Elephas maximus indicus: one gene and its partner. The protein of the gene in region 2 binds, or shares a complex with, the protein of the main gene of each other region. Links are inferred from orthologs where the notes say so. Each region holds a gene or a part of one and is shown on either strand. Other genes may lie near its edges.

Region 1 (7,306 bases), on a different chromosome or scaffold from region 2:
TCTAAATGTTCATTAATGAGTGAATAGATGAATAAAATGTGGTACATTTTACTCAGACATAAAGAGAAATGAAGTCCTGCTACATGCTACATCATGGATGAACCCTGAAAACATTATGCTGATTGAAATAAGTCAGTCATAATGGGACAAATAGCAGATGGTTCCATTTATATGAAATATCTAGGATCGGCAAGGGTATAGAGACCATATTTATTAGGCTTAGTGGACACTGAACTTCTGTTAAGGGTAATGGGAAATTTTGGGAATGGTGATGGTTGGACAACATGATAAACATAATTAATTCCACTAAATTGTACGCCTGAACAATGTTGAAAGGGCAAATGATTTTTTACATATATATTTACAACAATAACAAAAAAATTGCAAAAAGAAAGGTCTATCTTATATACTGGGTTTAGATTCACATTTGGGATTTCTGGATGGAAATGGGAGTCCTTGTGGCGCAGAGGTAAGAGCTCGGCTGCTAACTGAAGGACTGGTCGTTCAAATCCACCAGTTGCTCCTTGGAAACCCTATGAGGGCAGTTCTTTCTCTGTCCTGTAGGGTCCTTATGAGTTTGGTTTTTTGTTTTTGGATGGAAATCGATATGTTGAGAGATGGTGTCCTACTTGTTACCCTCTTTCAGGACGAGGAAGAAGTCAGGGGTTGCACTGACTTTGGATAACCCTCTTGGCCATTTCATCCTTTCCCCTCTCTTCTCTCCTCTTTCAATCACTGCTCACCTTAAGGCAGGGCTAGAGCCACAGAGCCATTTTCTCTTAGCCTCAAGACAGCCCCTCACTCAGCCCATTTCTTGGAATTCTTTCTTTCCTCCTCAGAACCTCTTGAAGAGAAACAACCATAAAACCATAGGCTGGCTAAAACCAGTCCTGCCCCGATCTTGGCATTTCAGATAGTCTTTAGCTCCTTAACTGCCTCATGCATGGTAGCTATGAGTCAGAATCCACTCCACAGCAATGTTGTTTTTTGTTTTAAGGTGGAGAGCTAACATGCTAATGAACAAAAATGGCTAACTTCCTCCTGCACTGAGAATGGAACCCAGGCCTTAAAAAATACTCATTCTGAAATGCTCTGCACCTTCCCACATGCCCTTTTGTATTCTGAAACTGATCCTTCCTATATAAACCAGGCTCAACAAGCTCCCTTCAAGGCAGTCTTGGATAGCACACAGCCCAGGCTGCCTCTTCCCTTGGTCTACCAATAAAGATGCCTTTCGTTCTTCCCAGCTCGGTCTGTCTTTCTGGCTCTGATGGAGTTGCACTGAGCAGAACCTGGAGTTCCCAGCAACAACCTCGCTCTGCCTGGCTCACATTTCCATCTTTTTCTGTTCTAATTTTTCTCTGCTTCCTCAGTTTCTCAGTTTGACAAGGGGCCACAGAATACTATTTTGTGTATGTGTGTGTGTGTGTGTGTGTTTGGGGGGTCGTGCTGGGCTTTTGGAGGCTGCCTAATGACTGCCCATCCCTAGATGTAAAACATAAGACATAAAGACATCCTTATGCTAGACATTCCCCCCTTCCTTGTTCTTTTAAAGATCTGAACTGTGATCCTGAATTCTTCTTGTTGGACCAGATCCTCGAAATTCTTCTGGCCCTGGGAAGGTACCAAAAGAATGACCACTTTTATGCAGCCATGCTCACCACTTTGGTGGAATCTTATGGACTAAATCAGACATTCCACCAGGCACCTTTATATCAGGCCCTGTGCCATAATTATCTCTGCCCCACTCCCGCTGTTTCATGAACTAATTCTAAATTGGCCCCCCAGGATGATCTAAGCACTATCTAACCACCTGAGCCAAATAAAACCTGGTTGGGGTTGGGGTGGTGGACGAATTACGATAACATGAAACAAATCTCATGCGACATCAGCTCTTCCTTACGTCCACTTCCTCTTCCAAATTCATACACATTAGCAAGTACGTGGATTTTCCTAAAGATTTCTTGAATACTACATGGCAAAGATTGTAAGGATGGCACAGGACCCACCAGTGTTTCGTCCTGTTGTACCTAGGGTCGCTGGGAGTTGGAACCTGTTAGATGGTACCTAATGTCAACAACATTGCAAATACAATTTAAAATTCTTAAAGAATTTGTTCTTCCCATCCAATTTCTTCTCTTCTCCCCCCTTCTTTCTTTCCCTCCCCAGGGCTTCAAAACTGCCAGCTATTTTAAGCCCAAGTTTTTAGCAAAACAAAAATCTGGCAGATGGTTGAGTTCATTCCCCTTAGACAGCAATTCAGAGGTCATCTGGTATTATTTCACCATGCTCCTTGGGGAGAGGGAGCCTCAACCCCACCCTGAGTGAACAAGAGCTAACATTTCTTAAAGTTGTTCTTATGCCAGATGGTGCTCTACTTCTTGTACACATCTTACCTTATTTTGTCCTAAAAACAAATCTAAGAAGTACATACTATTACTACCCCCATTTTAGAGAGGAGCAAACCAAGGAACAGGGAAATTAAATTCTGTAACTTGTGTAAGGCCAAATACAAATTGAAAAGAAGGGAAGAGGAACCACTCCCCTGTTCTTTCAGGATTCACTATAGATAACTTCTAAGGTTATCTAAACATTGTCTCTTTGAAAAGTATGTAAATAAAGGATGTTACCTGGAGGAACTGGGAAGCAACACTTTTGCCATGTGATCTCCTGGAAGGAGATTAGCATAACTTTGGGTATCTTGCCAAAAAGATACAAGAAAATTAGCAATTTTATCTTGAAAACATGAATGTAGTGAGTCCTGTTTACTTAGCTCTATAAAGGGTCAGATTCCTTCCTGTCTTTGGGATCTCTTTAGCTGATTGCCAGTGATGTATCACATTCTGGTTTTATGTTTATTGAATAATAAAACTTTTCTTTCTCTTCTCTTTTAGTGCAGAGGTTTTCTGGGTTGGGAGTAGATTTTAAGTAACTTTTCTCCAACACTTGCCCAGCTCTTCAGGCGCTGAGCCAGGCTTTTGGCTGAGGCAGTCTGCATCCAGAGCATGGATGAATATTTTGATAATTCTCACTCTAGAGAGATCAGTTATTGCCCAGCAAAAGCAAGTCTCTTTCCAGGAGGGAATTCTGCTGTTAAGAAAGATAATGTTCTCTGCATTTCGTTTTCTCCAAAAAGCACTCTGGCTGCTTTAGTTGTCTTTAGTTCCCCTACTCAACTTTTACCTCCATGATGAGTTTTCACTGTGGATAAGCACACACCCTCATTACTCCAGGAGTAAGGTCGAGGGTGGGCAGGAAGTCACTCGAATTGGGTGAGGTCATTGTAGAGGCATTCTTCTCTTCCCAACCCAGGCCCTTTCTCTCTCCTTCTCCATATCCAGGAAGTCTGCCTGCAGGGGACATCAGAAGCCCCCACCCAGGAGGTGTGCACTTGGGAGATGTGGAATTCTGGCCAGGGCACTCCAGAACGCCTGGGGAGAGAAAGGGAGAGCCCTCTCCTGAGATCCCTTTACCTGCTGTTGTAGGGGACAAAAATTTCCAAGTTCAGTAAAGCAAAAAGAAAGTTTTATTAGGCATATATTCAAAAGGACAAAAGCTGGGAAGCGGACAATCATTTTGCCAGAGCTTTGTCTGCCTGAGCCCAAGGAAATATTACAGGGTAAGCAAGAATGGCAAAACAGATAAGCTTGCTGCCACAGCCATGTCTGCCTGAGTCCAAGGAAATTATAGACAAAAGTGGGAAAACGGACAACCATACTGCCACAGCCATGTCTGACTGAGTCCACGGAAGGTTACAGAGTCCTCAGTATATATTAACATTACAAATGGGCAAAACCACTGAAAGCTTCACCTTTTCACAGACTGGCTAGAAACTGTCATCCTACATTTCGAATTGTCTTTCTTAACAATCATTGGTACAGGTTTCAGTAAGGACAGTCAGGAGGGTGACAGTCAGGAGGGTCTTCGTTGGTCCAACAAATTTCTATTCACTAAATGTTAATAGAAAGATAAAAGTAGAAAATCTTTTGTGTTCTGGCTTAAGTGAAAGTTTCCCTAAGAGATATTTTCCGAGATTATTCTATCCATTGTCTTTATACCTCAGGGCCCAGTTGATGTGTCCTTGTGAGCCCTTCTGAGCCCAGCTCCAACTTGGTCACATTCTCTATACTCAAACACACACCTTAAGGACAGGGAATAATGACTTCAATATAATTTCTTAAATCAGTGCCCTTGTTAAGCTCCAAGGGGTTCTTGGTGAAAATTAGCCCCTAAGTGATAACAAAGGTTTTGCTATGATTCGTGAAGACTGGGTGCCAGCAGCCCTAGTGACTTTCTCCACTGTTCCTAGGGAATCAGTAGAGAGATGAGGCTCACAAGGTAAGAAAGACTTCTAGAAGCAAAGACATGCTTTCCCCAGCAACACTGAGATGGGGGTGGCTTGAGTGGTTCCCCACCCTTCTTCCCTCAGTCCTTGCTTCTGTATGGACTGATCCCAACAGGCTCCTCCCACCCCTCCCTTCTTGGAAGCCAAGACCCTTTGCAATTTGTATAAGGTTCACATCCTGGGGACAAGTGATAGCAGAAACTCCATCTGCTCTCTCCTGGAGACCAAGGTAAGCTGCCCCAAAGATATCCTCAGAATGTGCTTCTGCTCAATGGTCGGAGAGGAGGGAGGCAAAGGCGGGTAAGGCTATCAAAGAGAAAGCTTGGGCCAGGTAATCATCGCTCAGGGGAAGAGTTGGAGTGGGGAGTGGAAAATTAAGGCTCCAGAGAACCTATGGACTGGAGAAGGGGGAGCCTCCAAGTTAGGAAAGGGAGCATATCTCTTTAGAATGCCGTGGAACCGCTTTTTCAGTGCCTGTATCAGGTACTGGGTTGAGGTTCCCTTGTGTTGTAGGGCAAGAAGGCTCCGTCAACCATGATCCTAAACATCCTGGTGGACCTCAGGGATACGACTGGGCTCATGGTTTATTCAAAATGATTTTCTAATGAGCCAGTTGAGCACTAGGTACAAATGTTTATTTTTCAAATATATTTTAGAGCAAAGAAACTATAGGATCCAGACAGGACTGCCAGGATTTTATGTCGCTTCTTAAATTTTTGTTAGTACTGTGAAGCAGTGCCAGGCTTAGGTCAGGTTCAAACCACCAACTTTTGTACTTAGGTACTTTACCATTTGTACCATCCAGGAGCTCTTTCTCTATTTAGTGAGATTAAAATGCTCCTGAAGGGGAGTATATGTAAGTGTCTCTTTACTTGGAAAATCAGGAAGAGGGGCTTCTATCTGGCTGACCTAAAAGGGAGACTATAAACCAGGGAACCCACAAGAGGGAGCTGGCGTTCTTTCTAAGAGGATGTTTTTCCATCTCTCTGCCTTTCTTGGGCAGGCTCCCCCAGGTGAGTGAGACAACCATGGCTCTGGAGAAGTCCTTTGTCCTGCTCCCTCTGCTAGCCCTGATGTTGCTGGTGCTGGGGTGGGCCCAGCCTTCCCTGGGCAAGGAATCCCCAGCCAGGAAGTTCCAGCGGCAGCACATGGATTCAGACAGCAACCCTAGCAACAGCTCCAGCTACTGCAACCTAATGATGAGGCGCCGTAATATGACAAAGGGATATTGCAAGTCAGTGAACACATTTGTGCACAATCCCCTGGTAGATGTCCAGGCCATCTGCCTCCAGAAGAACATCACCTGCAAGAATGGGCAGCCCAACTGCCACCAGAGCAACTCAAGCATTCCTATCACAGACTGCCGCCTGACGGGCAGCTCCAAGTACCCCAACTGTGCGTACCGGACCAGCAACAAGATGAGACATATCATCGTGGCCTGTAAGGGGAAACCGTATGTGCCTGTCCACTTTGATGGTTCAGTGGAGGTCTCCTCCTTAGGCCAGAGCACACATACCCTCACCACCTCATGACTGTGACATCTAGGTCACAACACACATATGGGTCTGGGTCTTGCCCCTCAGTGGTTTTGGCCGTTAGGGGCGGGGATTTGGGGATTATATTTACATCTTCACCGCTTCTCTTTATATAATATAGTTGCAACCACATGGAATCCTGAAGCTGTCCCTACCCAGGCAGTGTTTCTGTAATTGCTTTCCTGCAAGGGCAAGAAGTATAAAATTAACTAAATCTGTGAACATATGTGAGGTGTGGGATCACTTTGCAAAAAGCATTTTGGCCTTCGTTTTCTGTTCTTTTGAGCCATACTAATACCTGAGGCTAATGAATGGGGGGCTGACCAGCACAAGAGGGGTCAACGTAGGAGCCTGATGCTGTTCAGGCATTATGTAATCTATCCTGGCCATGGGATGAAGGTGATAAGAGCCCTGAGCCCTAAGGCTCAAATGGAGCTTCCTGGTTGGTGACCATGCTTGGGAGGGGATGTGCATCCCTCTTTGGGAAATGGAAGCTTCACTCTGACCCCTCCCAGACCTCACCCTATTTGTCCTTTTGTTTGTATCCTTTTTGGTTGTAATAAAGTTGTAGCCATAAGAATGGTATACTCTCCTAAAGGTTCTAAGATTAGTTCTAGCAAATTAACAAACCCACAGGGATGATGAGAGCCAGGAGAGGCTGGTGTCTGCCTATTTGGCAATCTGAAAGATGGTGTCCTTCTAACCTTTAGTGTCATACCTAGCTCTGAATGGCTAGAGTCCAAGAAATGTTGCATGGGCAGCTGGTTTGAGTTGATGTCCTTTTAACTCGTGACTTCTGACCCAGCTCTGGGTGGCTAACATTGGAGAGGAAGTGTGCTATTTGAGCTACTGGTGATGAGGATGGGGAAGTGGGATGGCGAGTATTAGACCCATTACCACATTTGGGGGATTGGATTCATGCTAATCCTTACCGCTCAGTTAGCAATGAAGGTGAGAGTTTCCCACTGCACCCCTTGCTTAGGGCAGTAGTGAATGGAATAATTAAATGCCTACACTTCTTCCTCTTAGTTTTTAGTGACCTGAAAGAATTCCATCTCTTTTGGATTCCTTGATTTCAAGCATAACGCTGTTCAGTGTGGATGTTTTCGATAAAAGGGGGTCATGGCCAAGACTCTGGCACGGAGGGAAGGATAGCATGACTTCAGGAAGACCCTGCCAGTCTCAGGGTGGGGAGGTAGAGCCTATAAAATTATGTTCCTCTTTTTAAATAAGCTATTACTGAATCAGAAAAATGGGCATATTGGCTCTAGTACATGGAAAGTTGGAACCATACATTTTAGAGCTAGAAGAAATGTTAGAGAATTACGAGACAGCAAGTAGGTTTCAGCTTGTGTGTCAACTAATTAATTGACAGGGCTGCTTAGAATGTCGCAGAAAAAAAATTCTAAGTAGTGATGTGATTGAA
Region 2 (7,235 bases):
AGGGTGAGGGCTGAAGGCAGGAGAGGGGAGACAGTCAGGGGGCCACTGCAGGAAGTAGGGTGGAGCTGACACCATGGAAGTGGGGGTGGCCCAGCATGGCTCACAGTGCATGGGGGGTGGGTGGGCAGGATGGCTCATGGTGTGTATGGAAGACCAGCATGGCTCACAGTGTGTGGGGGGAGACCAGCATGGCTCATGGTGTGTATGGAAGACCAGCATGGCTCACAGTGCATGGGGGGTGGGTGGGCAGGATGGCTCATGGTGTGTATGGAAGACCAGCATGGCTCACAGTGTGTGTGGGGAAACCAGGATGGCTCACAATTTGGCCCAGGTGATGGAAAGACAGAGCCACCATCACCTGAGAAGGGACCAAGGTGGGGTGGGGGCTTCAGTGTGCTGGTCAGCAAGTGGCTCTTTACTGCGTGGCAGAAACAAAGGGCCACTGATTTGCCCCATAGTGGATTTGCAGTTGGGGTCCTTGCCCAGGTGAACTCATCCGTTTAAAGTAGGCTTGCGTGGAGTGCCTGGAGGGCACTCAGGCAGAGCCTGGTCACTGGGGCTGGGGGTCCAGGGTGTGCCAGGGGTGATTGCAGAGGGCGGGGCCTGAGTGTGTGGGGCTTCCAGCTGTTGGGAAGTAGGTGGTTTGCAGCCCTGCTCCTTTGTCACTGTAGAGAGAGGGCCCTTCTCCCCTCTCAGAGCCCAGCACCCCAAGAGTGCAGGTCTCTCAGCAGGATCAGCGAAAATGCTCCACAGGGAGGGTGGGGAGAGTGGCTGGGATGCAGCCTTCAAGCTGGTGGGCATGACCGAAATTCTTGTTTTACTTCCAGGGGTAGGGTTTGGGTGCAGCAGGAGGCTCCCCAAGTTCCAGCCACTTTCAGTTCCCCACTTCTGAGCTCAGCCATGGCCCAAGGGACTTCCCCGACTTCCCCAGACTGGACTTGGTCCTAGCCTCATGCCTCTTGGGAGGACCTGTCACACTCGAGGCTAACTGACCGGTAGGCTGTATCACATCTGAGTCCCTCCAGCCGATGAGCTCTCCAGGGGCAGGGCAGGTCGGGCTCAGTGCTTGGCACAGGGTGGGCACCCAGGACAAGCTGCAGAGTGAAGACAGCGAGTGGCACCCTCTACCCTGACATAGGGAGGGGGCTGCTAGGTCTCTGAGTAGATGGGGGATGAAGACTAATGGAGGCCGAGGGTGGGCCGGGGAGGAGAGGGGCCTCTCCGTGTACTAGTCTCCCAACAAATTAACCAGAAAACAGAGATAAGCAAAGAGAATGAAACCAAAGGCCCAGAGTCCCCCGCCCCCCCCCCCACAGGTCTGCTGATGCTGTGGTATTTGCCCCCACACCTTCTCTACACACGCATACACTTTAAAAAAAAAAAAAAAAGTCTGATATTAGGTGTGTCAGAGGTGCGAGGACAGAACGAGAGGTGGTGTGATGCACTTCCAAGATGGGGAAGGGACCACAGACCAGCCCAGAAATGAGGGTGGCCTCTAGAAGCTAGAAAAGGCAAGGAAATGGACTCTGCCCTGGGGAGCCTCTAGAAGGAACCATCTCTGCTGACACCTTGATTTTAGCCTGGAAGACTTATTTTGGATTTCTGCCCTCCCAAAGACTGAAATAAAAATATCTGTCTTGTGCAAAACCACTACATCGGCGGTGATTTGCTACAATAGTAGAAAGACATTAGTATGTTACATTATAATCCTTTTCACTCAAGAATCAAGTATACAATGTAATTTTAATGGCCACATCGTGTGAGGTTGTCTGCATGTATTGTTTATTCGGCCAGTCTCCATGGTGGACACTTAAGCTGTTTTAAGGCTCTGCAGCTGATCACTCACTGTTACCCTCCTGGCACACCATCCTAGAGCCAAACACGCCCAAGTGCCCTCCTCAACTGCCCGAGCTGTCCTTAACCCTCCCGGCACCGCGTAGGCACCTCTGCTGGTACCAGACAGTTACCTCCAAGCGCCTGGAAGGACTCGTTTTACACTTCAATCAACCCTGGGACCACCTGGCCCTGGGCCCCTAGGGGCGCTGCCCCAGCCCCCCGGCCGCTCGGGGCTCCAGCAGGGGCTGAGTTGGGAGGCAGGTAACCGCCCCAGGGTCCCCAGGCGGCGAGCGGAGCCGTAGGCGAGGACCTGGGCCAGAGTTCTGGCCCGGTTCTCTCGGTACCGTGGCCCGGCCCGGCTCCGTCCGCACGGTGTCGACGTAGTCGGTGCGCACACCCCGCGCGGGACTTGCTCCGTGGGCTGCACCAGAAAACCAGAGCGCATGCAAAATTCTGGGTGCTCCTCCCCCGGGAAGGGGCCGCCCGTTCGCCGACTCTCGGGGGCCTGGCACCACCGGAGGGTGCCCGAGGGGCCGCCCCTCTCCGATCTGAGGTCACCGAGGTGCCCCGCCCCTCCCGACACCCCTGGGGTGGGACCCAGGCGAGGCCTTTCTGCCAGAGCTTCCCTTCGGGGGCGGCTCTTTGGGAAATAAGGCCAAGGGTTACGCGTTTGGGGAAGAAGCGTGGCTGCGCCGAGCCTCGCTCGCGTGGCCTGCGCGGCGCCAGCCGACGGGGAGACCCAGGCGCCCCCGCGCGCCGGCCGCGAGGGGCGGACCACGCAGGCGCACACCTGCAGCCGCGCCGGGACTCCCAGCATGCCCCGGGAGCGGGCCGAGGCCGGGGGCGGGCGCACTCAGGCGCGATGACGTCCTCAGGGCGCGCCGACGTCCGCTGGGCGGTGCTGCTGCCTCTGCAGGCCCCGCCCCCACGCCCTCGCCGGGCGCCCCTCGCCCCTACCCCGCCCCCGCACATGGCCGCTCCCACCGCCCCTTCAGCCCGGGCTCCGAGGGCCCAGCAGCGCCCGGCACACGTCCACCGGCGGCCGGAGCGAGGCCTGCGCCTGTGAGGGTGGGCCCCGGACTGCCAGCTCTCCGAGGGCCCGCGGCTGAGGGCCGCTGGAGTCACTGACCTCGGACGCGGCGACCGACGATTGCCTGTCACTGGTCTGTGGACAGAGCGGGAGACGGCGGCTCCTGACGGGGCGGGCAGGAAGGGGCGGGGCCGGGAGAGGGGCGGGGCGGTTGAAGGGGCGGGGCCTGCGGGGCGGGGCCTGCGGGGCGGGGCGGGGCCGGTGGTGAGGGGAGGGGCCTGCGGGGCGGGCGGGGCCGCGGTGGGGGCGGGGCCTCGGGGCGGCCGCGCTCGGCATTGGCGGCGGGAGGGCGGGGCCTCGCCGGCGGAGGCGGGGCCTTAGGGCGTCGGGTGGGCGTGGCTGGCGGGGTCCAGAGTCACGCGTGGGCCTGTGCCCGGCTCTGCGTGACCACGACGGGAGTCTCTGGACCCTCTCCCCGCGGGCGCTCGCCGCCTGCCTCATTGGCGAAATCCGCCGGCCGTCGTCTGTCTGTCTGTCTCTGTGAAGCTGCTCATTAAGGCCGCATTTGCCGTCCACGCGTGGGTGACGCCTCGCCTGGGGTCCCGCTGAGGGCTCGCACGCCACGGGCGCTTACTGAGCGGCTGCTCGCACCGGCGGCGTGCTGGCTGGGACGGACGGCGGCCTGATGGGGGAGACACGGCGGAGGGGGGGTGCAAGGCCTGAGGCCAGGGCTGGGGGCTGCTTCGTGGAGAATTGAGACAAGAGCAGGGACAGCAAGAGCCTGCCGGGAGCTGGCGAGGCCAGGTGTCCACCGACGTGGGAGGACACACGGCAAGGCTGGAGCCTTGGGCGAGAAGGGAAGGGTGGTCTGGAAGCAGCAGTGAGGGTGAGGACAGCTGCCCACCTCCTACTGGCCCTGCTGGAAGGGCCGATGGGGAGGCTGTGCTGGCCGGAGCCCCGGGTTCTGCTGTAGAAAAAGGCAGGAGGGCGTCAGGGATGAAGCGGACTCCCCAGGACTTACTTATATAAGTATCAAATTTTTATTTTAACAATTTTGATAGAAGTTTCTTGTTTAAATGTATTATTCTCTTCCCTGTTTTCTAAACGCAGTGTACTGACTTTAATTGGCTTTTTAAAAATTAATTTAACAAATCATTTGAGGGCTGTCTGTGGGCTGGCACCCAGCAGGTGCCTGGGAGGAGGGACGCCACCTGCCTGCAGCGCTGGCCCCATGGTCACGTGTGGGGACAACTCTCCAGGCGGCAGCTGTCACCAGTGCCCTGGAGGTCCTACACAACCGGGGTTTTCAGAAAAGGATAAAGAAATCGCGAGAAACGTTCATCCTTTCTAACATATAGCGATGGCGACGGGGCTAGAAATGCGCACATGAGGGGTGGTGTCTGCCCGGTACCCACGGCCTGGCTTCGGGTCTCCCCTGTTCTTGTTGCTTTCTTTCGCTTTAAGGGAAACCAACCAACAAGGCTTGTTGGAGTTGTGACTAATGAAGAGGAAATTTCTGAGAACGTGGGTTTGATGTCCTTACAAGAGCAAACATGCATGTTAGTGCGTAAACTCTGACTTTCGCTTTGGGCGCTTATTCAACAAGTTAGGTGTTTTGGGGCGGCTCCTCAGTTCTTTTTACTGGTCTGCTTTTCTGTTTGTCTTTACAGAAGGTGGGCTGGCTCACAGGCACAAGGTCACCAGACCCGAGTCTGATCCTTGCCCTGCCATTTCAAGCTTGGTGGCTGGGGGCAACCCATTCAATGCTTAAAACTTGATTATTTTTGTGGGTAGCGCGCACTCCCTGCAGCTGCCCCCCATGGTGGTGGTCCTCTGCACCATGCCTCCCTCCTCTAAACGCCCAGGGCTCGCGGTGGTGTTCCTGCAAAATGTGCAGAACTAGGTGCCTTTGGATTAGATTCAGGAGGAGAGGCTCAGAGTTCACCTTAGGGCTCTGGAAGGACCAGTCTATCCGGCTCCGGCCCAGCTCTCACATTCACCAGGAGAATGATGTTTTCAGGGGAGCTGCTAAGATAGTTCACTCTTCTCGATGCCAGGTCTCCTATGACACTCTCATAAGGGTGTTGTTGGCCATGTCTATCACCACTGCGTGTTCACCTGCAAGCCTCGCTCCCTTTTGTGACATCCGCCCCACGGCTGCCATGGGGCCCAGCGAAGAGATGTGGGGAGATTCCTCATCCATGCTGACCCCACACGCATCTGCAAGTTGGGAAGGTCATGCGTGTGGCAGGACTTCCCTGTGTGTGCTGGCCGCAGTCAGGGGCACCTGTGAGCTGCAGAAAGGTAAGTCTTTATTTTTAAATGTACCTTGTTCACCCAGCATGGGATTGGAGAACACAGAAGTACTTCCACCCCCAGCTTCATGTTGCCCACCCTATAGGTGTCCATGCTTGCCCAGTTCTTGAATTGCTTCGTTTCTGATTTGTTTTCAAGATCCAGCCCAAACAGGCATCTGGTGGGTGTCCCCTCGAGACCCTTCCTTTCCCGTCTGCCCTTCTGCCCTCACACCTCCGGCCCCCACACGACACGCTTTCTGAGGGTGGAGGGCTTCTGGCTGGTGTCTGCCTGTCTCCCGACACCTATCACAGGCCCTGACCCTGCAGGCTCTCAGTAAACTGTGAGTGAGGCCACAGATCACCCAGGAGGACCTGCAAGATGCAGCTGACGACACGCGGCTGCTGGGTGAGGGCTGTTGGGGGCTTGGAGTAGGGGCCATATTCCTGCTCGACTTTGTAAACACATCACTTTCAAAAGCACACATCCTGAGCACAGCAGGAGGCAGGGCCAGCACCCTGTGTCCACTCCCCAGGCCACATGTCCCCGTCCTCACTGACCTGGCAGACGGAAGGGCCACATGGGACAAACTTCTCATCCTCACTGGGCTGGGGGTGCTGGCCTCTGCGGTTCTGCCGAGGATGGGCCTGGCACCTGAGTCAAGACCTAGGGGATCAGGGAGCCAAGGTAGGTGGTGGGCCATGTGCTCAGGCCATTTATTTCCGTGGAGTCTTGGGGACTCTGGAGAATGACCTCCACGTGTGTCCGGGCTTCAACTGTGGGCACCATGAAATGGACTCGGGGTGAATGTCATTACAACCCAACCCCCTATGCATCCCCTGACCTGGGGGCTGTGCTGCTTTCCTGGTTCCCAGGGGTCGGCGTAGCCCTACAGCTGGTCCTCACTGTCCGGGTGTGGGACTTTCACAAGGCACAGTTATCCAGGTCAGTCCCCTCAGGAGAGCACAAGGAGAACCCATGGGGCCACTGTGCTTTGTGTCCCCCCCACCTCACTCTGGTCCAGCAGTCATGGGGCCGGAAAGCGACTTGGGAGTGGGAATCGGGCAAGACTCGAGCCCTGGCATGGTCTCCTTGAGTTACATCCACAGCAGTATGTGCCCACCAGGTTGCAGCCATTGTCCATCCAGTCATCTGGGTGTACCCCTGGGTGCCCCCAAACTGGCATGTCAAAAATTACCTTTGGCCCCCACGCAGCCCCAGCCTGCCCCCCCAGCTCTGCTGCACCCTCACTTCTGGAACCAACTCTGGGAGCACACCCTGTCTCCACCCTCACGGCACACCCACACCAGCTTCAGCCGCTTTACACAGCAAACCGTCATCCACCACACAGCCTAGTCTGAACCACAGTGACCTTCACGTCCTCCGTGCCGTATCCTCATCCCACTGCCCTCGGGATAAAGTCCCCACTCCACATCAGGCCCATGCAACCCTGCATGGCTCCCTGCCCCGCCCAGCACCCATACTCTGTGCACATGCACACACACATGCGTGCGCACACACAGTAGTACAGCGATGGAGGCCATGTGATGGTGTAAGAAGAGACAGATCTGTGAATGGAGTAGAGAGTCTGGTAGACCATTATGTGTCTAGAGACTTAGATTATGATATCAGTCAAGTCAGTCCCCACCCTTGGCTCTGAGCTGACCTCATGGCACACTTAAGCCAGCAGGACGTGGGGTAGGGACAGCATGCCGGTGTGAGCCCAGGCCCCTCTCTCAGGTCTCAGGCTCACGGTGGACCCTGAGCTAGCCTGCTGGATGCCCTGACATAGCTGGGATGAGAGACCCCCTGGGGAGAGCCGAGCTACCCAGCCCCAGCCCACCAGTCCCAAGAGCTGGCCATAGCTGCATGGGGGGCTGGGAGAGACCAGTGGAATGGACCCCCAGCCTAAATCCCTGGCCTGCAGGATCTGGGGCTGAATAAATGGTTTATGTCTCAGCCACTAGGTCTGGGGTGGCTTATGACACAGCAGGAGCTAAGTGACATGCCTCTCTTACATTCACTGGTTTTAGGAGACTCACAGATGTGTGCAACCATCACCACAGTCAATTTT

The links.
Region 1: the proteins of RNH1 (region 2) and ribonuclease pancreatic-like are in contact, whole or in part, in a crystal structure (PDB 3TSR), measured with the Mus musculus proteins. The link is inferred for Elephas maximus indicus from reciprocal best matches to the Homo sapiens genes RNH1 and RNASE1. Residues at the interface, in NP_001165571.1 of Mus musculus: Cys7, Asp32, Thr60, Asn89, Asp117, Glu145, Tyr146, Asn174, Glu202, Trp257, Trp259, Glu283, Ser285, Trp314, Lys316, Glu340, Glu397, Ser401, Asn402, Gln426, Val428, Tyr430, Asp431, Ile432, Tyr433, Trp434, Thr435, Asn436, Glu437, Arg443; in NP_035401.2 of Mus musculus: Arg26, Glu27, Lys32, Gln36, Pro48, Thr49, Gln53, Lys56, Arg57, Met60, Asn62, Gly63, Ser64, Cys65, Lys66, Pro67, Val68, Asn92, Lys94, Asn96, Leu111, Lys112, Gly113, Asn114, Ser115, Lys116, Asp121, Ala134, Glu136, Val143.

What each region holds. Positions count from the first base shown.
Region 1 is NC_064828.1:31,191,784-31,199,089, reverse strand, and holds ribonuclease pancreatic-like, read left to right. Parts: upstream 1-4,529; 5' UTR 4,530-4,574; intron 4,575-5,348; 5' UTR 5,349-5,373; coding exon 5,374-5,877; 3' UTR 5,878-6,800; downstream 6,801-7,306. UniProt on the Homo sapiens protein: Endonuclease that catalyzes the cleavage of RNA on the 3' side of pyrimidine nucleotides. Acts on single-stranded and double-stranded RNA.
Region 2 is NC_064825.1:137,557,803-137,565,037, reverse strand, and holds the start of RNH1 (ribonuclease inhibitor), read right to left. Parts: upstream 3,057-7,235; 5' UTR 2,966-3,056; intron 1,240-2,965; exon of another isoform or gene 1-1,239. UniProt on the Homo sapiens protein: Ribonuclease inhibitor which inhibits RNASE1, RNASE2 and angiogenin (ANG). May play a role in redox homeostasis. Required to inhibit the cytotoxic tRNA ribonuclease activity of ANG in the cytoplasm in absence of stress.